Linked DNA regions of Cricetulus griseus. The protein of the gene in region 2 interacts with the protein of the main gene of each other region in a pairwise test. Links are inferred from orthologs where the notes say so. Each region holds a gene or a part of one and is shown on either strand. Other genes may lie near its edges.

Region 1 (7,882 bases), on a different chromosome or scaffold from region 2:
AAAACACCCTTATACATAGAGTGAAACATAAATGGAGAAAGAGCTGTAGAGGAAGACACCTGCTATGGACCTCTGGCCTTGACACACACACTCATACACACACACACACACACACACACACACACACACACACACACACACTCACCAAAATAAGGGGTGTGGGGGGATAAAGGAGGTGTTTTGGTGGGCTCAGCAGGGGACCTTCTAGGGTAGCAGGGTTGGTGTCTGTCACTCTGGAAAGCCCCCTGGGTCTGCACAGTGCTGATTTGGGGCAGGGGGTGTATGTCCATCACCAGTTTCTGCACTGAGCCTTGGGAGGGGTTCACAGCCCAGTTTAACTGCTGGCCCATCCCCTGTGTCCCCACAGAGCCACCCTCCATGCGCCTGAAGGCCCGTCCTAGCAACTCTGGCTCCTCCATACTGACCTGTGCTGCTTTCTCCTTCTACCCTCCTGAGCTGAAGCTACGATTCCTTCGTAGTGGGCTGGCCGCAGGCTCTGGGAACAGCAGCATCGGTCCCAATGGTGACGGCTCTTTCTACGCCTCATCATTGCTGGAGGTCAAAAGAGGAGACGAACACCATTACCAATGTCAGGTGGAACACAAGGGGCTGGCACAGCCTCTCACTGTGGACCTAGGTGAGGCTGTTCATCCAGCCTCGGAGTCTTCTTGCTTCTCCTGGATACTGACCCTGTATTAACCCTACCGCCAGTCCTCCTGAATCTGACCATCTTCTGTCTCAATGTTGCTGGTCTTCATAACTTCTGATCCCTCACTTTGCCACTGACAGTCCTTGCTGCGGCTTTCAGCTGACCCTCATCTGCTTTGATGCCTCTCCTTCCTCAGTTGGGTTTTCACCCAGCCTGCTCATAGTGTGGCTGTGACTTATATGGCTATTGTTCATATATATATATATATATATATATATATATATGCGTATATGTGGTGGTGGTAGCATACCCATGTAATTCCAGCACATGCTTACATGCTTATATATTTTATTTCCCTACATTCTTTATATGGGGGGGAAAGCAGAGGTGTGCTTGTGTCATGGCATACTTGTGAAGATTATAGAACAACTTGTGGGAGTTAGTTTTCTCCTTCCTCCATGTCAGTCATGGGGATCAAGTTCAGGCCATCAGGCTGAATGGCAAAGGCAAATGCCTTTACTCACTGAGCCTTCTTGTCAGACTAGATTTCTATCTTAGAGGTCTCCCGGCACTGGATATGGTACTGGGAACCGAACTGTGATCCTCTGGAAGAGCAGCCAGTGCTCTTACCAGCTGAGCCACTTCTCTAAGCACCAGTGTGGCTGGTTCCTGTATCCAGTGTCTGCACACCCCCACCCCTCTCTGCGGGACTCCTCAGCTGCTTTCTTCCCTGTTCTCATAACGCTTTCTGGCTGCAGATGTACCAGCCAGATCTTCTGTGCCTGTGATCGGAATCGTTCTTGGTTTCTTGGTGGTCATAGTGGCTGCTGCAGGGGGTGTACTGCTGTGGAACAGGATGCGCAGCGGGCTGCCAGGTGTGTGCCAGAGGGGGAGGGGCGGTGGGGGGAGAGAGAGACAGAGACAGGCCCTGGCCACCCTGGAGAAAGAGCTGGGGTCAGAGACAAGAGTGGCCCTCATGGCGTGTGGGATGATGACACCTTGGTTACAGATGCTGACCTCTGTTCCTCTCTCTTAGCCCCATGGCTTTCCCTCAGCGGTGATGACTCAGGTGACCTGCTGCCCGGTGGCAACTTGCCCCCTGAGGCCGACCCTCATGGTGCAAATACCTTTCCAGCCACTTCCTGATGTCAACTCAGACCTCCAATACACATTGCAGCATTTGGTGCTGTGTGACCTCCTGAACTCCTGGCATCTCTGAGCCTTCTGAGGGAGACCTGGGCCAGATGTTCTCCTTGTGGACTCCTCCTTTTGTGGCCTGCCTCAGTTTCCCTTCTTAATGTACATGGCTGTTTTCCATCTCCACAAAATAAAGTTGGGTCCAAATCTGTGTGTGCACTGTTATTGTCAAGTTTCAGGCTGCAGGAATAACTGAACGAGTTTGGGAAAAGATTATAGACTTTTCCTGGTTGCCGTGATAGAACCTGTCCATTTTATATACTTAGTTGTGTATTTTTAGTCATAAATGTAAATGATACATACCTACACTGTGACAGGAATTTCAAGGAATTCAGCTTTCCTGTTCTTTCTCCTTTCTTTCTTTCTTTCTTTTTTTCTTTCTTTCTTTCCTTCTTTCTTTCTTCCCTCCCTCCCTCCCTCCCTCTCTCCCTTTCGAGATAGTGTGTCTCTCTCTAGTCGTAGCTGTCCTGGAACTCGCTATGTATATACCAGGCTAGCACCGAACTCATAGAGATCCACCGCTTCTGTCTCCCAAGTGTAGGAATTAAAGGCAAGAGCCACCAACCCCTACCTCCTCCCTAAACCAATCTGAGAAATAAGAAAATGGCTTAAAAAATACTTTTCCCTTAATCTTCTGGGGCCAGAGCCTCTGGAGGTGGCAGTGAAGGTTGCCCTAAGCCTGCTGGGAGTTGTAGTTCAAGACTGCTTTCCAGGCTAGCGCTCCGCCGTGTGGACGTGGCGAGGGGCTCCCGGGACACTCTTGGCGCTCATTGGCTCCGCTATTGATCAGAGGGCGGGGCCTCTGGGCTGCCAGGGGCGGAGCTTGACTGGCGCCGCGCCAGGTTGGGCATCCTTGCTGGAAAGCGAGTTCACCGTGCTTCTCGAACCCAGGCCTGGTAACGGGAGTAAAGGTGGGGAGCTAGCCAGGGAGGGGGTTTCGGGTGGGGGTCGCGCGCGGTCAAGGCTGGGAGCCACGCAGAGGACCCTGCATGATGCTTTCAGCCACCACCATTCCCTGAGCTTTGCATGAACGTGCCACGTCTCCAACTGAACACCCACCAGCTTCTCCCCACCTGCAGACTCCCTATTCTTTTTGCCGACTTTTCTTGAGCCCCAAACCTTGTAGCCTGCATATATCTGCCATGCGTTAGGCAGCCCCTAGCTTTGAAGTTCTCTCCATATTTCTGGTTCAGATTTTTACCCCCGTATGATCCTCTGACCCCACTTCTCCCCAAGGACCGACGATGTGGCGATGGTCGCTTCTGTTGCTTTTCTTGCTGCTGAGGTGGTGGGCCCTGGGGAAGCCATCCCCTGACGCCGGGCCTCATGGCCATGGCAGGGTGCATCAGGGAGCCCCCTTGAGCGAGGCCCCCCACGATGACGCCCACGGCAATTTCCAGTACGACCACGAGGCGTTCCTAGGACGAGACGTGGCCAAGGAATTTGACCAACTCAGTCCAGAGGAAAGCCAGGCCCGACTCGGGTAGGATGCCGGGAGCCGGGCAGAGGTGGGAGGTGGGGGAGAATTGAACTCACTGAAAAGGTCAGAGGCAGGAGACTGGACAGAACTGTGGTACTCACCTCCTGGGCAAAGGCAGAGTTAAACCTGAGGCTGTGGGGGACCTGTGTCACCAACACCCCTCTACTTCCATGCCTCTGTCTGGACTTTCCTATTCTGTCTTAGCTTCTCAATTGGTCACCAACTCTTCATAGAGACTGAAGAAATGAAATTTGAGAAGGTTCCCAAGCTCAGAATTCAGATTCAACTGGGAGGGATGGAGTCCGAGACTCCATCTGGAGGAGATTGGCCTGTATCTGTGTGGAGGACACAGTTAGCATGGCCCTGGAGACAAGAAGGCCACTCTTTGCATATATGCTTTAGAATTATCATCATCGTTATTTTGAGATAGAAACTCACAGTGTAGCACTAGCTGGCCTGGAACTCATTATGTAGACCAGAGTGGTCTAGAATGCAGAGATTCGCCTGCTTCTGCATCCTGGGTGCTGGGATTAAATAAAGGTGTGCGCCACCAGGCCCGGCTAACCAGTTGTAATTTTAAACTGGGCCAGTAGTGGCATTGAAAGGTTGCGGGACTGACCTGGAGACAGAGGACCCAAATTGATCTGCCCGTTCAGGGAAGTGGGTGGAGCTCGAGTCCACAGGCAGGCTGAGCCTGACCGAGTGGCCGGCCCTGAGATGGCAAGAGGTGGAGCTTCAAGGTTAATTGAGACTAGGGTGCGGGTAAGAGGCCGGACAGACTCGCTGTTACCACTTCAACTCAATTCACCTAGGGTTGAGGTCTGTGCAGAGCTTTGAGGAGGGGTTAGAGTAGAGGGTGTGGCCTTGGTTTGAGCCAGGTGCTAATCCACATCTCCTGTAGGGGAAGGGCTAGGCGAAGAGCGCGGGCGTCTGGATGGGCTGGATGCTGAGATTAAATGTGTCTCTCAGTTCATCTGGTCCCCTTTCGAGTTGCGCACGGCAGCATCTCTGAGGAACCGAGTTAGTGCGGGCAAAGACCTGCCAGTGACAACCTCCTCCTCATACTGGCTGGAGCACAGCTTTAATCCCGGCACTCAGGAGGCAGAGGCAGGCGGATCTCCGTGAGTTCAGGACCAGCCTGGTCTACAGAGTGAGTTCCAGGACAGCCAGAGACTACACAGCGAAACCTTGTCTTGAGAAACAAAATTTCTCTCGCGCGTTGTTTTTGTTTTCTTTTGAGACAGAGTCTCTCTACATAGCCCTGGCTGTCCTGGAGACTAGGCTGGCCTCGAACTCACAGAGATTCTCCTGCTGGGATTAAAGGCGTGCATTACCTCACCCCACTTTTTTTAATTTTAAAAAGATTTATTTATGTTAGAGTATGACTGTGGGTGTCTTTCCTGCGTGTATGTGCATCATGAGTGTCTTTCCTGCGTGTATGTGCATCACGAACATGTCTGGTGCTCACAGAGGCCAGAAGAGGGTGATGGACTCCCTGGAACTGGAGTTTCAGATGCTTTTGACTCAAACCCCAGGTCTACAAGAGCAGCCAGGGCTCTTAACCAACCGAGCCATCACTTAAGTCCCCATTTTTTGGTCTTATGTAGGTACAAGCGTGTCTCTGCCTGCACGAAAGGAAGGGGCTTAGGTGGGCGAGGGTCAAGATTGAGATTGACTGCATCTCTATTCTAGCGTTGGGGCCTCATTGGGCAGGGAATGACACTTGTTCCCCTTGCAGGCGGATCGTGGACCGCATGGATCTTGCTGGAGACAGCGATGGCTGGGTGTCCTTAGCCGAGCTCCGCGCGTGGATCGCTCACACGCAGCAGCGGCACATCCGTGACTCGGTGAGCGCTGCCTGGCACACCTACGACATGGACCGCGACGGGCGCGTGGGTTGGGAGGAGTTGCGCAATGCCACGTATGGCCACTATGAGCCGGGTATGCCACCTTACCTTTGACCTTTGACCTCTCTTTTAGGACTTTATCACTGATACTTCTCCATTTCTGATCTGGCTTGTTCTTCCTTCTGAGATCCATCCTATGTGACAAGTTGACTGGAGACTTAACATTCCAGATCAGGAACACTTACCATCTGTGTGCTGTTGTCCTGACCCCATCTCTGTTTCTTTTTGGGACAGTCTTTCTATGCATTTCTGGTGTCTTAGTGTTGCTGTGGTGGAACATCCTGACCAGAAGCAAGTTGGAGAGGAAAGAGTTTATTTGGCTTCTGCTTCCACGTCATAGTCCATCACTGAAGGAAGTCAGGACAGGAACTCAAGCAGGGCAGGAACCTGGAGGCAGGAGCTGATGCAGAGGCCTGGGGAGTGCACCTTACTGACTTGCTCCCGTGGCTTGTCTGTTTTGTTTTTCCAGACAGGCCTCACCTCTGTGACCATGCATCTCACCCACCTCTTCCTTTCCAGGGGAGGAATTTCACGATGTGGAGGATGCTGAGACCTACAAGAAGATGCTGGCTCGGGATGAGAGGCGATTCCGGGTGGCGGACCAGGATGGGGACTCCATGGCCACCCGGGAAGAGCTGACGGCCTATCTGCACCCTGAGGAGTTCCCACACATGCGAGACATCGTGGTTGCTGTGAGTGAGACTGCAGAGAGCCTGCTTCCCAAACCTGTCCTAGGTCCCCATATCTTCCACACAGATTCCAGGCCACCAACATAGATGTGGGGACAGCAGCCTCCCCGTCTCCTCCACACCCAGAGCCTGGTATCTCCTTGTCAGACCTGCTTGTGCTCTCATTGGTGTCCAGTCCCTGGCCCATGCCCAGACAGCCACATCCTCGGAAGAGCCTCAGGTGAACCCCAGTAGTGTCTGGGCCCCAGAAAAACATAGTTTATTTGACATGCACTTATCATACCCCATAAGTTAAGTATGTCTCAGATACCAGGTGTGGAACAGATAGTTGTAAGCTGCCCACTGTGGGTGCTGGCAACTGAACCCAGGTCCTCTGTAGGACAGCCAGTGCTTTTGTTTTGTTTTGTTTGTTTTTTGAGACAGGGTTTCTCTGTGTTGCCCTGGCTATCCTGGAACACACTCTGTAGACCAGGCTGGACTCTTTGAACTCACAGAGATCCACCTGCCTCCTGTGTGCTGGGATTAATGGCGTGCGACACCACGCCTGGCTAGCCCTGGGTTTATAATTGTGTACCACCCAGGCCCATTGTATGTGGGTCTTGAGTAACCCAGCTCAGGCCTCCATGTTTTTGTGGCACTGCAGTTTACCAACTACACTGTCTTCCCAGATCCTGAAGGTGTTTTGTAGGGTAGTTGATAGAATCCAGTGAATATGCTAATCAAGGCCTGTACTTCTGAGCCACACCCCCAGGACTTCACTGGGGGATTCTGGGTAAGGGGCTTTATTGCTGAGCCACACCCTCAGTATTTGGTTGCATCATCTTCTACTGAATTAGTTTGAATGTAAAAGTGGGGAACATGCTGGGCGTTGGTGGTGCACGTCTTTAATCCCAGCACTCAGGCGGCAGAGGCAGGCGAATCTCTGTGAGTTCAAAGAAGGCTAGCGTGGTCTACAAAGCTACACAGAGAAACCCTGTCTGGAAAAACAACAACAACAACAACAAAGTGGGGAACAGAAACCTTTTTTTTTTTTTTTTTTTTTTTTTTGGTTTTTCGAGACAGGGTTTTTCTGTATAACAGCTCTGGCTGTCCTGGAACTCACTTTATAGACCAGGGTGGCCTCAAATTCACAGATATTTGCCTGCCTCTACCTCACAAGTGCTGGGATCAAAAGCACTAGCCACCACGTCAGGCCCAAAAACGATTTTTTTAAATTAGGACAGATAACATGAAGAGTAGGCATGGTGAGTGTATGTGTCAAAAAATGATCCACGAAGAAGATGGTCTGATGGCTAAGAGCACTTGCTGTTCTTGTAGAAGGTTGGGGTTTGTTTTCGGCACCACTGTCTGTAACCCCAGCTCTGCAGGGTCTGATGTCCTTTTTGGCCTTGGGGCATTCTGCATGCACACGGTACATGCGGGCAAAACATCGGCACATAGAAAATACATAATTCATGAATCAGGCATGGTGTGCATGGCTTTAATCCTAGACCTCAGGAGGCAGAGTTCAAAGCCAGCCTGGTCTACAAAGTGAGTTTGGCCAGCCAGAGCTACACAGTGAGAGCTGGGCAAGTTTGGACACAAAGGTTTCCTGGCTGCCTTCCACTGTCACCTTCAAATCTCCCAGCTTTCCTCTCTGTGGAGACTGCTCAGATGCAGGCACACTGACCCTCCATCCCAATGCCTCTCTCCAGGAGACCCTGGAGGACCTTGACAAGAACAAAGACGGCTATGTGCAGGTGGAGGAGTACATCGGTGAGCAAGCCCCCATTCCGCCTGAGGCCTGTTATCTCCTGGCACCAAGGAGAGCAGTGGCCTTACTCTACTTGTATCAAACACCCATTGTGTGCAGAATCTACTGCATGGCTGGCCCGGGAAGCACTCATTGGGCACCTACTGCAAAAAGCATCGGGGTTTCCACAAAACCATGGCTCAGGCTCAAGATTTGTCTCTGTAAAAA
Region 2 (7,196 bases):
CTGGTGGCCCAAGGATACCACCACCCACCCACCCACCCAGCCACTATTCTTCTAGTGTTGGCTGTGTAGACGCTGAGTGTGGACAGCTGCTGTAAGACCAGGGTCTCTTTGACCTTGTTCTCTGACTCTATGCACAGTGGCTTCTGCCAGCCCCTGGACTCCTCTGGGGAACGGGATTAAGGGAAGCCAGGAGAAATGAAGGCACCATGGATGCTTCCTTCCCATCAACCCCCATTACCACGGCCTTTGTGGCTCTTCTAGTCCTGAGAGCCCTCAGAGCTGATTAGCTGAGATATGATCTGCTTTTCTCAGGAAAGGCATGAAGTCTTCCCCTCTTCCTGATCCAACAATGGCCATTGCCCACCTACCTACAGGAGTTAGGGTGTGAGCCTGCCTGCCGGGACTTGGGAACCCATACCTGCAGTTCCTCATTATAACAGCTAGAGGGGGCCATCGTTCCAGAGCAGACGTGCTCTCTGTCCATAGGTGCCAGCTAACTTTGGCAAAGGGTTTTGGATAGGGTCCTTTTCTACTTCTGAGGCTGAGATGGGGGTCTGGAGGGCAGTGACTGTTGTACACTTCCCCCAGAGACCCTGCCTTTGTGTAGACATTGGCACTGCTAAGTCTAAACTTTCTCCAAATGGCCTCAAGGAAGAGCTGTGCTCAAAACATCCCAGGTTTTCTGGTAAAACATAGTTCTGTGGTGCTGGGCTCTGGATCAAAGGTCATCTGGTAGACTTTAGCACCCTTGTCCATAAACAGCCATGTAGGTCAAGTAAACCTGTGACTATGCACCTCAAAAACAAAACAAAACAAAACTAAAAAAGCTCACACTTCCCTGTGCCAGCCGGTCCCTGTCCAGGGCTGCCAGACAAGGACATTGTTCTTATGCCTTGGTCACAGGAGGCCTCCTCCCTATAAGTCACCCTTTCTTCTCTCTCCTGGTGCTGTCCTCGGCCTGGGTGAGGCTGGAGGCAGGCAGGCCACAGCTCTAGGCGCTCTATGCCTAAGTAAAGGTGGGCAGGAGCAGGTCTGCCAGGGGAGAGCATGAGTTTTCCTGCCAACCACTGCCCTGTCCATAGGTGCCAGAAAGGCACAAGCAAATAGTACTGATAATGGGGCCACAGGAAAACAAGCTACATTTTCTCCCATTGGCTTCTTGCTTGAAGGTAATGACCATAGGGTGTTATGGATCCTGCTGGCTGGGGTCTCAAGAGAGCCTTGGGTAGTTTTTGGCACTCATGACAGGAGCCAAACAAGAGTCCACAGTGCCGCATGCTGGATCCCAGTGTGGCTGCAGAAGGAGGGCTTAGGGATGGAGCTGTCATGACTTCTGGCTTTTGCATAAGCAGAAGCTACAAAGAAAGTAAGTTCAAAGTAGAGATAACAAAAGATCCTGGCAGCAGTGTGAGCATTTCAGGGTTAAAGGTACCCAGAGAGTGGAGGAGCCTCATCTGTGAATGAAGAGGACATGAACCCAAAAGCTCACAGGTCAGCAGCAACCAACTTCAGGGGCTGCAGGCTACATGTCTCTCTTCACCTGCCTAGTCGCTGCTGTGGCCTGAGGGAGCCTTGCAGAAGCTGGGAAGTTCAGAGATGGCCGTGACCTGCCTCTGATGGCACGGTGAGCAGAGAGAGCCAAACACAAGGCAGACATGTGCTCTGCTGCCCCTACACAGGGTGCAAGAAATGCAGCAATGCTCTGTGGCTTCCAAAATCCAGTGGGTGCCAAACAAGCATCTCGAGTTCTCAAGCAGCAAAGGTGACAGTGACACTGTCCAGGCAGCCACAGTGGGGTCTAAAGACTCCTTTACAATGACAGGGTCATTAGACCACTCAGCACTCACCCTGCAGCTGGGCTGAGGGGTCAACATAGCCCGTGCTGCAGTCAGACACAGGGAGGGTGGCTCCCTGAAAAAACGTGTGCTAAGAAGGGGGAGGAGGGAAAGGAACACAGGGCAAGGAGACAATACTCCTTGATTACCTTCCTTTGGTGGTGGTAGTCTAATTTTGATACATAATTTACGTACACTAAAATCCATTCTTTTAAAATGCACACAGACATTTAAAAGTACAGGCTTGCTTTTCTGGGCTGGAATCTGTTTTCTTATATGGGGTATTCAGGGAACACATTCTAGACCATGCCATATTTCTACTGGCTCACACACAAAGCTCCTCCTTTTTCTCGGGATGGAAGCCAGTGGTTATCTGGAAGTGTGTGCTAGCAAGGTTTTCCTCACTCAAGACATACTTGCAGGTGTGGATCGATCTCAAATATGGTTTCTCCCCTCCGCATGTCAGTTATCAGCCAGGGACCACCGGCACTGTGGACAAGGAGAGACAGAGGTACCTGAGGGTCTGGACTGATCATTAGTCAGCAGCTTTCCTATTTGCTGTCCCACCCAGAACACACAGGACACTGTTAGTGGTCAGGGACCATAGAGAAATGAGTGTTCCAACAGCAAAGCAAAGGACCCTTCAGGTGGGATGGAGGGAGGACACCCACCCCCAAGACCCAGGGGTCCAGGCCTCCACCTTACAGGGACGTATACTCACACAGGCACTGTTCTCAGCAGTTCCAGGATGCCCTGCCCATTCCACTGCTGGGCCGAGTGTAGCTCCTCAGTGCAGACACCGACGATCTGCGGCCCAGGACAAGACGCCATTGTGTTTTAATGGCCATCCCTCCTGGATGTCTAGCTACCCAGGCTCTCTCAGGCGCATCTCAAGGAGGGGGCACACAGGCAAAGTTTGTGTTTCTAGGCTGGTGGCTCCCTTAGGAGGTGCTACCTAGTTGGGAGGTTCCTGTGCCCACAGACAGGCACCAAGACCTGACCAGGTATCTAGTGGCACAGAGCCTAGCTCTTGGCTGTAGAAGAAACGAGGGGCAGCTTGAGCCACAGCATGGCAGGGCCTCCCTCAGGCCAGGTATTTAGAGGCAGGGGGTGGTCAGGCAGCTGTTCCTGCAATAGCTGTATCTGTATAAATCTCTAGGATACCAGTTGAACCTTCACCTAGCCCTCATTAGATGCTGCAAGCAAGCATGGGCAGCAGCTGGGGAGAGTCACACCCACTGGGGAACGGTAACCCTGGAGCTGGATGTCGCTCTTGCCCCTGCCATTGCAGACGGTGGAATCGTCTCATCTGCATTTAGACAGACCATCATGGGGGAAGAGAAGACCACCCTGCCATTGCAGACGGTGGAATCGTCTCATCTGCATTCAGACAGACCATCATGGGGAAGAGAAGACCAAGAGGAGCCTTCTGCCCGGCCACTTCCCCTCTCCAAGTCCACCTGTGTTCTAGACTCTCCCCACAAGGATGAAATGTCTGAAGCTCTCGCAGCATCTCACCTGCAGGAAGGTAACTACCCCAAAAGGGGTCTGCACAGGCTGCATCTGTGGGTCTTCCGTCAGCAGCATGTGCTGAATTCTTGACTCACTGTTATCCAAAGGGCTGTGCCAAGACACATGGTCCCCGCTACAGAAGGTGTTCTCTGTGGAAAGACAGGAGGATCCTCAGCACTTGGATCCAGACCTGGAATCTGCCCTGAGACTCAGAAGCTCAGGTCGGGAGGCCCTGCAGCCTCCTAGAACAGCTGGATGCACTCCTGGGAGACTCCCCAGCCTCCTAGAATAGCCTGGTGAGTCCATACCCAATACAAGCAAAGCATTGCAGCTACTCCCAAAACACCAAATGGTCTTGGATGACCCAACGTGTTTGCCTTTGCTGGTGTGCTACTGGTGTGCATGCTCACTTAGCCCAGGAAGGCCTAAGAATTCTAGCATCCACTGTGTTTCTCCAGTGCCCTTACACACAGAGAAGGAGATGATCAAGTAGGCCAAGAATGAGGTGCTTTCCACTGTGGCCACTGGGAAGCAGGGAAGCTGGAAACAGTGGGAATTCTTGGAAAAACTCCCCGGGATTTCTGTGCTGGCAAATCAGTGCAGAAAGGGAGCACTCAGCCTCATAGAAATCTGCTGCTAGTTTCCCACAAGCAGATTTGGGGATTTCTGAGGAACACTGGAGACTTGGGGTAAATGGAGGTCAGGACAGTGCCTTGCACACCTCAGGAGACTGTGCTGCTGAGGGGTGGCTGCCTCTGTGAGGGCACAGTGACCCCAGACTCAGTACCATGCTTCACGAAGGCCTAAAAAAAAAAAAAAAAAAAAAAGAGCCGGGAGTGGTGGCACATGTATGCAATCCTAGCATTCAGGAGGTTACAGCAAGAGGATAAGTTGAGGCCAGCCTGTGCTACCTGCCAACACTGCCTCAAAAAACAAAACCCCAAGAGGAACATGCTTATGGCAGCAAAGCCATAGGGGAGCACTCCCATGTAGTCAGAGCCTCCACCCTGACCCTTGCCTTGAGCATGCAGAGCGTGTGCACCTACAGGGTTCCCAGGCTGGCCTCAAACTCCCTAGGGTGACCTCAAACTTCTGAACCTCCCATATTCACCTCCAAGTGTGAGACAGGTGCCGCCATGCCCAGCTGCTGGTGTCCTTTTAAAATGTTCATGGGTGTTTTGACTGCTTGTATGCCTGTGCTCCACTTAGGTGTCTGGCACCTGAGGGGGCCAGAAGAGAACATCAGATCCCCTGGAACCGTAGTTTTAGATGTCTATGAGCTGACGTGTGTGCTGAGAATCCAACCTGGGTCCTCAGGAAGAGCAGCTGGTCCTTTTAACCACCAAGCCATTTCTCCAGTCTCCCTGGGAGAGAGACCCAGGGCTGTGCACGATAGGCAAGCACTTTATGAGCTCCAAATGAGCTCAGTTGCCAGCTTCCCTCCATTTCCCCTGTGAACATGGATGGAGAGCACAGCTTTCCACAGCTCTCTCATTCACATAGCTCAGAGCTCATTTCGCATCCGCTTTGCAGAGAGGCGCCTTTGCTAAAGGTCCACAGCACATGGCAAGGCAGGGCATAGCACACATCCATGCACGCCTGCACACACCTCGAAGTTTCTGCCTGTCATTGTCTTGTCTTGACTGAACTCTCATTCCTTCCTGCGCCACCTGATATTACCCAGCCATCGTTCCCAGCCAGAATTGGGGTGCGGGGGGGATGGGGGGATGGGGGGATGGGGGGATGGAGGGATGGGGAGATGGGGGGATGGGGATGGGGGATGGGGGATGGGGGATGGGGGATGGGGGGATGGGGGATGGGGGTGATGGGGGATGGGGATGGGGATGATGGGATGGGGGGGGATGGGGGGATGGGATGGGGGATGGGGATGGGGGATGGGGATGGGGGATGGGGGATGGGGATGGGGGATGGGGATGGGGGGATGGGGGGATGGGGGGGATGGGTGGGGAGATGGGGGGTGGGGGGTGGGGAGTGTGTGTCCATACTTCAACAGTGTTCCTTCAGGAGGGAGAGGGAGGACGGTTTCCCCAGGAGACCCAAGGGGGAAAGTGGAGAAGCGGGGGCCAGGATGGTGAGAAACCCTCCAGTTTCGGGACTCCCACTTGCATGTTCCTGAACCCCTCTCTCCTTTCACTGCCACGTCTATAACCAGCTTCCTGGGAAGTAAGAAACAGCTTGAGACACTGAGCTAATAATTAAAAACCCTCACCAGACAGCCACCTACAATCTAGACCCTACTGACACTGAGGATTTAAGATTTTTTCACAAGTCTTTCCAAAAATGAAAAAGAAGCATTTCTCAGTTCATTAGATGATGCCAATACTATCCTGAAACCAATATCAGACAAACAAATTTAAGAAAATGGAAAAAGGAAACCATAGACCAATATCAGTTATTTATACAGAAAAAAAATCCCAACAAAATACTAGCAGGCTGAATCTAGCAACATATAAAAGAGGTTATATACAAAGGCCAAGTGGGATTCATCCCAGAAATCATAGCTTGATTTAATTTAAAAATCAATATAAAATGGCTGCGGATGGAGCTCAGTTGATAGAGTGTTTGCCTTGCATGCATGAGGCCCTGGGTTTGTGCCCCAGCACCCACCAGGTGTGCTGTTAGACATCTGTAATCCCAGCACCCACCAGGTGTGCTGTTAGACATCTGTAACCCCAGCACCCACCAGGTGTGCTGTTAGACATCTGTAATCCCAGCACCCACCAGGTGTGCTGTTAGACATCTGTAACCCCAGCACCCACCAGGTGTGCTGTTAGACATCTGTAATCCCAGCATCCACCAGGTGTGCTGTTAGACATCTGTAATCCCAGCACAAGGAAGTGGAAGTAAAAAACATCAGACATTGGGGGTGAAATGGCTCAGTGAATAGAAGGCTTGTATGGTGAGCCTGAGTACCTAGGTTCAGTCTCTGGAACCCACAGTAGACAGAGACTTGCCCCTGAAAACTGTCCTCTGACCTCCACGTGTGTGCCATGGCCCATGCATGCTCACACTCACACACACAGGCATCATATTACATACACAATAATAAAACTGAAAAAAAAAAAAAGAATCAGGGTCACACAGTGAATTTAATGCAAGCTTGTACTGCAGTTCCTGTCTATGGGAATAAATATTAGGAAACAGAAAGGGAAAAAAAAAGTCACAAAATCTAATACCTTTCGTGATTAAACAAAACAAACACTGCAAGCAGGAATAGATGGGAGTGCTCTCATTGTGACAAAAGACATCTAAAAAAACCAGCAGCTGACATTGTACTTGATGGTAAACGACCCATTTCCCTCTTCCATCAGGAGCAAGACAGATACCCACTCTCACCACTTGTACTCATCACTGCAGTAGAGGTTCGCCATAGGAAGCTTGGGCACAAAAAGCAACAAACACATCCAGACTGGAAAGGAAGCAGTTAACTACCCCTGTTCATAGATGATGTGGGCTTGTACATGGAACGTCTTAGGGCTACACTAAAAACTACTAAACTACCACATGTATAAAGGTTGCAGGGTAGACGAGCAAAGTGCAAAAATCATTCTAGATACTGGGAATGAACAAACAACATGAAATTAATAAAAACAATTTCTTTACAATACCACCCACAAGAATACATCTTTTGGGCAAATGGTACTGGAACAACAGGCTATCTAAATTCAAAGGACTCAGATGGATCTCTTCCTTATACCATAAACAAAAATTGACTCAAAATGGATCACAGACCTAACTGTGATAGTTAAAACTGCAAAAACACTTAGAAGAAAATGAAGTGTCAGATGAGGCGATGGAATACCAAAAGAACATGCAACAATAGACAGA
Region 3 (7,969 bases), on a different chromosome or scaffold from region 2:
TGCAACCCAGCATTTTACACAACACGAACAGTATGCTCAAGGAAATTAAGTTATTTACTGAATAGTAAGCATTTCAACTTAGGTAGCATTCAGGTTGTCTTATTCCCATGGTCTGGTGTGTGCTGGGTGGCTGGGAGATGCATAGAATGTAAGACTAGAAAATCTTGAGGTAAGGCTAAATGATTCGTGATTTCAATATTTGGTCACCCAATTCAGACCATCTTTCCATTCCATGCTGATCCACTGACTATAATCGATGGCATGCTGTTTTGTTTTTTACATAAAGTGATCAGTTTTTAAAAAGATTTTTCTAATTATTACTGATTTGTAAATGGTTAACAAATTTGGCTGTATGTTCCTTTAAGGTAGACAAACATAGCTAGTATGGGTAGATATAATGACATCTTGTTCAGATGGGTTATCTAGTTGTTACAGTAAAGAATGAATTTATGTAACTTGAAAAAATAGCTCCTTTGAGCAAAGTGTCTTTTTGCTATTGGTGCTGAATTTAAGGGAAAGACTAATATTCCTTAGCATTTCCTGTTACCAAAATTATAGATGTATTTGGTGCTCAGTCTCTTACATTTGAATATTATCAGTTATCAGTGGAGACATTCTTTATAAGGATCATATTGTATTTGGGTAAGTGTAATGATTGCAGTCAGCCAATAAGAAAATAGTCCATCCAGTATTTCTAGGGAGGTATCCTCACACTTGGGTATCACCTACATCCTGCAGTTTAGGTTTTTGCTGTAGGTACAGCTGCACAGGAAAGGATCAGAGTGATTATTCTAATTATGCATTCATAATTTAAAAATTTCCACCCTCAGAATCCATTGCATGATACCTGGTTTCTAAATCAGATGAGGTATTTCAGGTATTTGACTTCCATCTTCTGGATCATCTTCTGCTTGTAGTTGAACCATTTAGGTAAACTCAAGAGTTGGAAGCCATAATAGTCAAAACTGTTTTGATGGATACTGTCCCTACCTACTGTTACAATCATCCTTGAGTGTTTGGTCAAGTTGACATCCACATTACTGAACATCCTTCAGAACTCTCCTTCAGAAAGTTAATGGAGGTCTTTATTTCTAAATGTTCCTCAAAGATACTCTACTGTTATTTCTCTTGTGGCCTCTCCTACATTTAATTTTCTCTAATCAAATCTCTTAACAGTTAGAGAAGGGCTTGTGTGAGCAAGGAAGAAAGTAAAAAAAAATAACAATAACAAACTGTAGTATATGGTTATATTTTATAGTTCACTGATTTTTATTGGATATATTTACTATAGTAAGTATTCAGAGTAGAGTAAAATAATTTGTATTTCCATATTAATGAACTTGATTGTTTTAATACATTATATACTTGGAAAATATTTAGTTTGACTGAGGTTGTTTTGTTATGGCAGTTTTCCTAATTTTAATGAACCACTTTCCTCAGGAAAGTCTTTGTGTGACAGATTTTTAAATAAAAACCTAAAGCTCCCTTAATCAAATTATAAATGTTCTTTATAAAATGCATTACTATGATTCATCCTTTTAAAAGTAGAGTTTGCCCTACCATTTACCTGTGGAATACACAAAGTTCTTAGCCCTTTGTATTAAATATCTCATCTATTGGCAGGAAAAGTAAACTGCCTAATTTTGATTAATTCAATTGAATTTAAAAGTTCAGAGTTTCATCAGGCGTTGGCAAATGCCTTTAATCCCAGCACTTGGGAGGCAGATCGCTATGAATTTGAGGCCAGCCTGGTTTCCAGAGTGAGTGCCAGACTAGGCTCCAAACATACACAGAGAAACCCTGTCTCAAAAAACAACAACAACAAAAAGTAGAGTTTCCACATGTTTTTAATAATTTTAAAAGTTATACTGATTTTGAATTTTCATTTAAATACTATAGTTATTAAAATAATTAGTTTGATTAGTATTACATAAAGCAAAGGCACATTCATGGTTATTAGTCCCTATGCTTTGTTTCTAATTTTTAATGAAATGTTTTGTTGAGCTGAGGGTGTTTGTGAACCTTTGTAAATCCAGCACTTGCTAGAATCAGGAACATAAGGAATTGGAGACCAGCCTGGGCTACATGAGTTCCTATCTCAAGAGCAAAAACAAAACAAAGAAAAAATTTAAAAGAGAAGTTTTTAAATATATAATAAAACTCCTTATATCTCAGAATGAGAAAAAAAGTTCCCTTTGTTTTTGAGCATGGCTTCTGACTGTTATAAGACGTATGCCAGATGCTTTCTTTGACAAAGAACAGTGAGTGTCCCTGTTGATAATTGACTGTGTATGGCTAACACCATCTCTGGCTTTACTAGCCATAAATATTTATTTCAGTGAAAACCGTTTTTCCCATGTACTGACACTAACCAGATAAGAACCCGCCTCCCTTTTTACTTTTACTTTTACGTTTTCTATGTTTCTGACTTTGAAGTTTGTGCTTTTCTGAGCAAATTAAATGTTTGTATATATTTTTTTCAGGGAGAAGCTGTCTCCTTTTAGCACACAAATAACAGCCCATTCCTGGGGATTAATTTATTTAAATAAATTGTGCAGCACAAGCACTGAGATTGTATCAATAAAACAAAAGTGTTCAAATTCTACACCTCCCAATTTTTTATTGCAATTTTCAGAGTATCTTTTTTTATTTTTAGATGAATCTACGTTCTGTATTTACTGTAGAACAACAAAGGATTTTACAGCGTTATTATGAAAATGGAATGACAAATCAAAGTAAAAATTGCTTTCAGCTCATATTACAGTGTGCACAGGAGACTAAGCTGGACTTCAGTGTAGTCAGGGTAAGTATTGAGGTCTTGCACTTGAATTTATAGCTTTTTATTACAAATGATATTTGCTTAATATAAGAAAAACTATTCAGGGTATGAAGTCCTAACTTCATACACAGCTTCATTTCCCTAGTGTAAAAATACTATTTTGATAAATAGAGATACCACACACAGTCATATTCGTTCTCATAAATACCTTGGAAACACTAAAACCCTTGCAGTATGACATATCTCTTATATAAATCTTTGAACTAATAAATACTGGTAACATTAATTATGGGATGTTGATTATATGCTTTTTAGAAGCTCTCATTTAATACACATAGAGCCTCCACATTAATAGTGAAAGAGATTTTTGGAAGCATTTGCATGTACCTAGCTTTGTTGTTGTTGTATTTAGACTTTTTCCTCAGACATTTAGGATTTGAGCATTTTTTAATTTTTCAGGAAAGTGCAGTTGTTTTTATGGATACCTTTTCTTTCCAAGTAAAATGTATATATTTAATGGTTTGTGAGTAAGAGACAGGAAATCCCAAGGGAAGAAATTATTGAATCCATTCTTATCCTGTTATGAAAAAAATCAAAGCTGCTACACATTACTGAACAGCAATGAGGTGATAGAGAGGAGGCAAGTGATAAATCTAACAGAACTAGTGACCAACTTTATTGAATGCATTGGTCCTTTCATGTTTATTTAAACAGTTTACAAATCCTTTTAGTGTGGAACCTTAGTGATTCAAAGATTCACAACTTTCCCGCACACGGCAGGCTTTCGGCTAATTTTGAGGAAAAGGGATATATCTTTTTCAAGTTTATTGTGCTGTACAATCATACCTCCAAAGATCCTAGAGAAAAGATTTTTGGATAGAACTGTTTCCAAAGTTCTTCAGAACTAAAGTATTTATTTCACATTCAAACAGAAATTATGCTGTTTATTATAGGGAAAAGTATTCTTATGGTCTGAGATTAACTATCGGATTCCCATTTCTGTCAAAACTAGAAATGTCTTCTATTGATAACTTTAAATTACTACTGAATCTCAAAGAAAAATGTTTAATAACTTTACTAAAAATAAAATATGGGGGCTGGAGAAACAGTCCAGATGTCCTGAGTTCAGTTCCTGGCAACCACATGGTGGCTCATAACCATCTGTAATGATATCTGGTGTCCTTTTCTGGCCTGCAGGTACATGTGCAGGCAGAACACTGTATACATAATAAATAAATAAATCTTTAACAAATAATTAAATATTTCAAGTTGTTGAGATTGCACTTTATACAAATAAACTTTTTTTCCAAATGTTATTTCCTCGGACTTTTTTTTCCCTTTTGTCTTTGCATTACTTTAAAGTAAATTGTCTTCCCAGGCAGCTGCAATGTGGATCATCTCTCATATTTCAAAGTTGTCAATTGCACTATTCCCCTTTATAACTAATTTTATTGTTTTTGACTATAGAGATTGTAGAAATATAGATATTTATATTTATACTGAGTGTGAAGTGAAAATCTAAAACAATGAGAATAGATTTCAATTCTTAGAATGTAGGATTGTGAGTATAACACTGTATAAGATATAAGGAATTTTGTAAAGCAATCAGTTCTCCATTCCAGGAAAACATCAGTGGCACAAAAATGCATTGTTTTGAATTTCCATTCTTTTTCCAATCAGTCAAAAGCTCAGCAAAGTAGTTTGCAGATTTGCAAATCTATGATCTCCCCCATCTTTTGCTGTTTATGTGTCCCACTTGAAAGAGATCATTATTACTTTTAATATAAAGTTATTGTGTTTTTCCTCAGAAGAACGTAAGTCCATTATATTTAGTATTCACTCTAAGTGTAAAGTGAATTTAAGAGGTTGAATAAAACATCCAAACAAAAATAGTCAAAATGAAGAAAACAAACAGTGAGATATAGAAAAAGGTAAAGAAATTTAGAACATGAATGTATGAAAATGCTATAATGAAACCTATTTTTTGTATGCCAATCCTCCTTCCAAAAAAAGAATAAAAATGTTCTGATATTAAGTAGTGGTAATGGTTATAGAATGATGATGATATTTTTACAAAAATATTGTGTTGAAAGAAGAAATTTAGAGGTAGTACATTTTTAAGATAAAACTGAAAGAATTTTATAGCTTACAAATATTGGCAACTCAAATTCATTTCTTTTTTCCTGTGTATAGTCTGTTTGCTAGATCGTCACCTTAGATTATCATAACCCCTGTTTTGTACGGCATATTTTTCATTTTCTTTTTGATGAATTAGGTATTTGCAAAGGGTGGGTGCTTATATCTAAGAAGCATAAGTTTTAGATCCTATACCTGAGCAGCTTAGGGTAAGGTTTAATTACTGTAACCCCCAAACAATGAGTTTTCTTTACTTTTAACATTTTAAGTACAAGCATTTCTTAAGTATATATTTTTGTACTTTTCAATAGGGAACTTGGGAAATAATTGAACTCTTAGTTTTTCATTGCTGTTTAATGATTTCTGATTAAATGTTTTTATTAGGATATGTCAATTATGCTTACTAATGAATTTCATTTCATTATTTTTATGATTCTGCTCTGTATCTCTTCTGGATCAGAAGTGTAATTTTTGAAAACACTATATGGCTTTTTCAATGCACTCCTGAGCTGGATGTGGTGGTGCATACCAGTAATTGCAGCATAGGGGGCAGAGGCAATGTGGTTCTCAAAGCCGGACTATCGACATAGCTCAACCCTGTCTCAAAAAAGAAGTTGCTCAAATGTATAAACTTCAAAGACTTAAGAAAGCAGATATTGCAACAAAAGCATTAAAATAAACCCCAAAATTCTATAAATTCTAAAATCTACTCTTGCAGGAAAATACCATCCACAAAAATAGTCTTTAAGGTTGTTTGAATGTTCTAAATGTTTATAACCTAAAGAGCTGTAATTTGTTATATCTGTAAGGTGATTGATAAAATGTCAATATACAGATTTTTTCATTGAGATCATAATATAATCACATTTCTCCCTTCTTTTTCTTCGCCCCAAGCCCTCCTATATACCCTCCTCATTATCCCTCAAATTCATGGCCTCTTTTTTACTTATTGTTATTGCATGCATGTATGCATATGTATATACATATATTCCTGAGTATAACCTGTTCAGTCCATATGTTACTTGCATGTATGTTTTCAGAGCTGACCATTTGGCATTGTAAAACCAGTTGGTGTGCTCTTCCCTGGGGCAGACTTTTTGTCCCACTCTAAGCTTTCCTAAGCTGATTATAGATCTTTGTATAGGGTTGAGACCTCATATTTTTTAAAATAAGCACTCTAAAATCAGGTGTGGTTAGGGACACACCTTTAATCCTAGCACTGGGGAGAAAAAGGCAGGGGAGAATCAGGAGTCCAAGATCACATTTGGGTACATACCATGTTGAGGACATCCTGAGGTTCATAAGATCCTTACAAAAAAACAAAACAAGAAAAAACCTGCAAGCATTTAGTGTGCAATGAGAATTCTTCAGAACTAAATTAGGAATTTTATTGCTTATATTATGTGAAAAAGTTTTCCTTTTGAGATTATATTCCTCCCACAAAATTTACTCCAAGTATCTTATTTCAATTAATTGTGAAACATTTTTGCAGTCTCTACTATGCAGTATTTATTTAAAAGCATGAATTCAAGCATGGAGGCGTGGCTATGCATACTTGTGATCTTAGCACTTGGAAGGTGGAAACAGTGTTTAGAAATGTGTGCTCATCCTGTACCATATAGTATGTTGTGGAATATAGTTTAAGTTGTGTTACATTCATTTATACTGTGGAATATTTGTTTAATGATGCAAAGATGTGTTGCATTTGTTTAACTCTGTGATGCTGTGTTACTTTGTCTTCCTAGAAAACCTGATTGGTCTAATAAAAAAGCTGAATGGCAAATAGCTAGGCAACAGAGGGATAGTTGGGGCTGCCAGAGAGAGAGAATAAATATGAAGAGAAAGGAGAATGAGGATTAGAGAAAAAGGAGAAGGAGAGAAGATACCAGGGGCCAACCACACAGCCACACAGTCACACAGTCACACAGCCACACAGCCACACAGCCAGCTATGGAGTAAGGAGGGAAGAAAGACATATAGAATAGAGAAAGGTATAGCCCAGAGTAAAAAGGTAAATGGGATAATTTAAGTTAAAAGCTGACTGGAAACAAGCCAAACTAAGTCTGGGCATTTGTAAGTAAGAATAAGTCTCGGAGCTGGGCGTTGGTGGCACATGCCTTTAATCCCAGCACTCGGGAGGCAGACGCAGGCAGATCTCTGTGAATTTGAGGCCAGTTTGGTCTCCAGAGCGAGTGCCAGGATAAGCTCCAAAGCTACACAGAGAGACCCTGTCTCAGAAAACCAAAAAAAAAAAAAGTCTCTGTGTATTGATTTTGGAGCTGGGTGGTAGGTCCCCAAAGAGAAATAAAAGAAAAGAAAATGCAATGGTAAGTTCAGGCATAGTCTGACTACATGATACCCTGTCTCAAAAGAAAAAGAAACAATGCATCTAAACTAAAAACAAACTAATAAAAATCAATACTATATGTAATTTAAATGTTTCTCAGATACCTAAGTGCAATTAATTTACTGGTACTTTAAAAAATTGGGTTGGAAATATAGCTCAGTTGGTAGACTACTTGCCTAGCATGGTTTTATACACATAAACTGGGTGGCATGGTAAACAACGGTAAGGAAGTAAAGGTGGCCAGGGGTAGGGATCACAATGTCAATGTTATCCTTGGCTACATAGGTGAGCCTGGGCTAGAGACTCTGTAGAAAGAAATTTACAAATATGTAAGCTAACAGGAAAAATCAAATGTCCAAGATTAAAAATGCAATTGCCTTGCACATGGAGTCAACATGACAAGTGAGATACTCTTATGTGCTCATTGTATTTTATTTAGCAGCCATATAAGCAAACACATATACTTACCTTAGGTTTTCTATTTTAATAGTGATCTTTTGAAAATAAATCTAAACTTTAATACTGGTTTGCTTTTAACTATTCTTCCAGCTGCCTACTACATTCCACTTAAATCTTCTATCTGTTAATGCTCTAAAACTATAAGAAGGATAATTAAAAGTTCCACTCAGAAATAGAACACTTCACAGGACTGGTATACAAATAAATCATTTGGAAAACCAACTGAAAACTTTGAGTTGAACATCTTA

What was found.
Region 1: the proteins of Sufu (region 2) and Rcn3 interact in binary tests that used the Homo sapiens proteins (3 or more experiments, as listed by UniProt). The two-hybrid records come from large-scale screens. The link is inferred for Cricetulus griseus from reciprocal best matches to the Homo sapiens genes SUFU and RCN3.
Region 3: the proteins of Sufu (region 2) and Hdx interact in binary tests that used the Homo sapiens proteins (3 or more experiments, as listed by UniProt). The link is inferred for Cricetulus griseus from reciprocal best matches to the Homo sapiens genes SUFU and HDX.

What each region holds. Positions count from the first base shown.
Region 1 is NC_048599.1:153,965,124-153,973,005, reverse strand, and holds the start of Rcn3 (reticulocalbin-3), read left to right. Parts: upstream 1-2,569; 5' UTR 2,570-2,757; intron 2,758-3,082; 5' UTR 3,083-3,090; coding exon 3,091-3,329; intron 3,330-5,064; coding exon 5,065-5,267; intron 5,268-5,752; coding exon 5,753-5,925; intron 5,926-7,616; coding exon 7,617-7,677; intron 7,678-7,882. Other genes in the region: Fcgrt (IgG receptor FcRn large subunit p51), read left to right, coding at 368-637, 1,408-1,524, 1,686-1,795. UniProt on the Homo sapiens protein: Probable molecular chaperone assisting protein biosynthesis and transport in the endoplasmic reticulum.
Region 2 is NC_048596.1:15,123,920-15,131,115, forward strand, and holds part of Sufu (suppressor of fused homolog), read right to left. Parts: intron 3,497-7,196; coding exon 3,354-3,496; intron 2,643-3,353; coding exon 2,557-2,642; intron 2,325-2,556; coding exon 2,252-2,324; intron 1-2,251. UniProt on the Homo sapiens protein: Negative regulator in the hedgehog/smoothened signaling pathway. Down-regulates GLI1-mediated transactivation of target genes. Down-regulates GLI2-mediated transactivation of target genes. Part of a corepressor complex that acts on DNA-bound GLI1.
Region 3 is NC_048604.1:60,283,699-60,291,667, forward strand, and holds the start of Hdx (highly divergent homeobox), read left to right. Parts: upstream 1-2,656; coding exon 2,657-2,803; intron 2,804-7,969.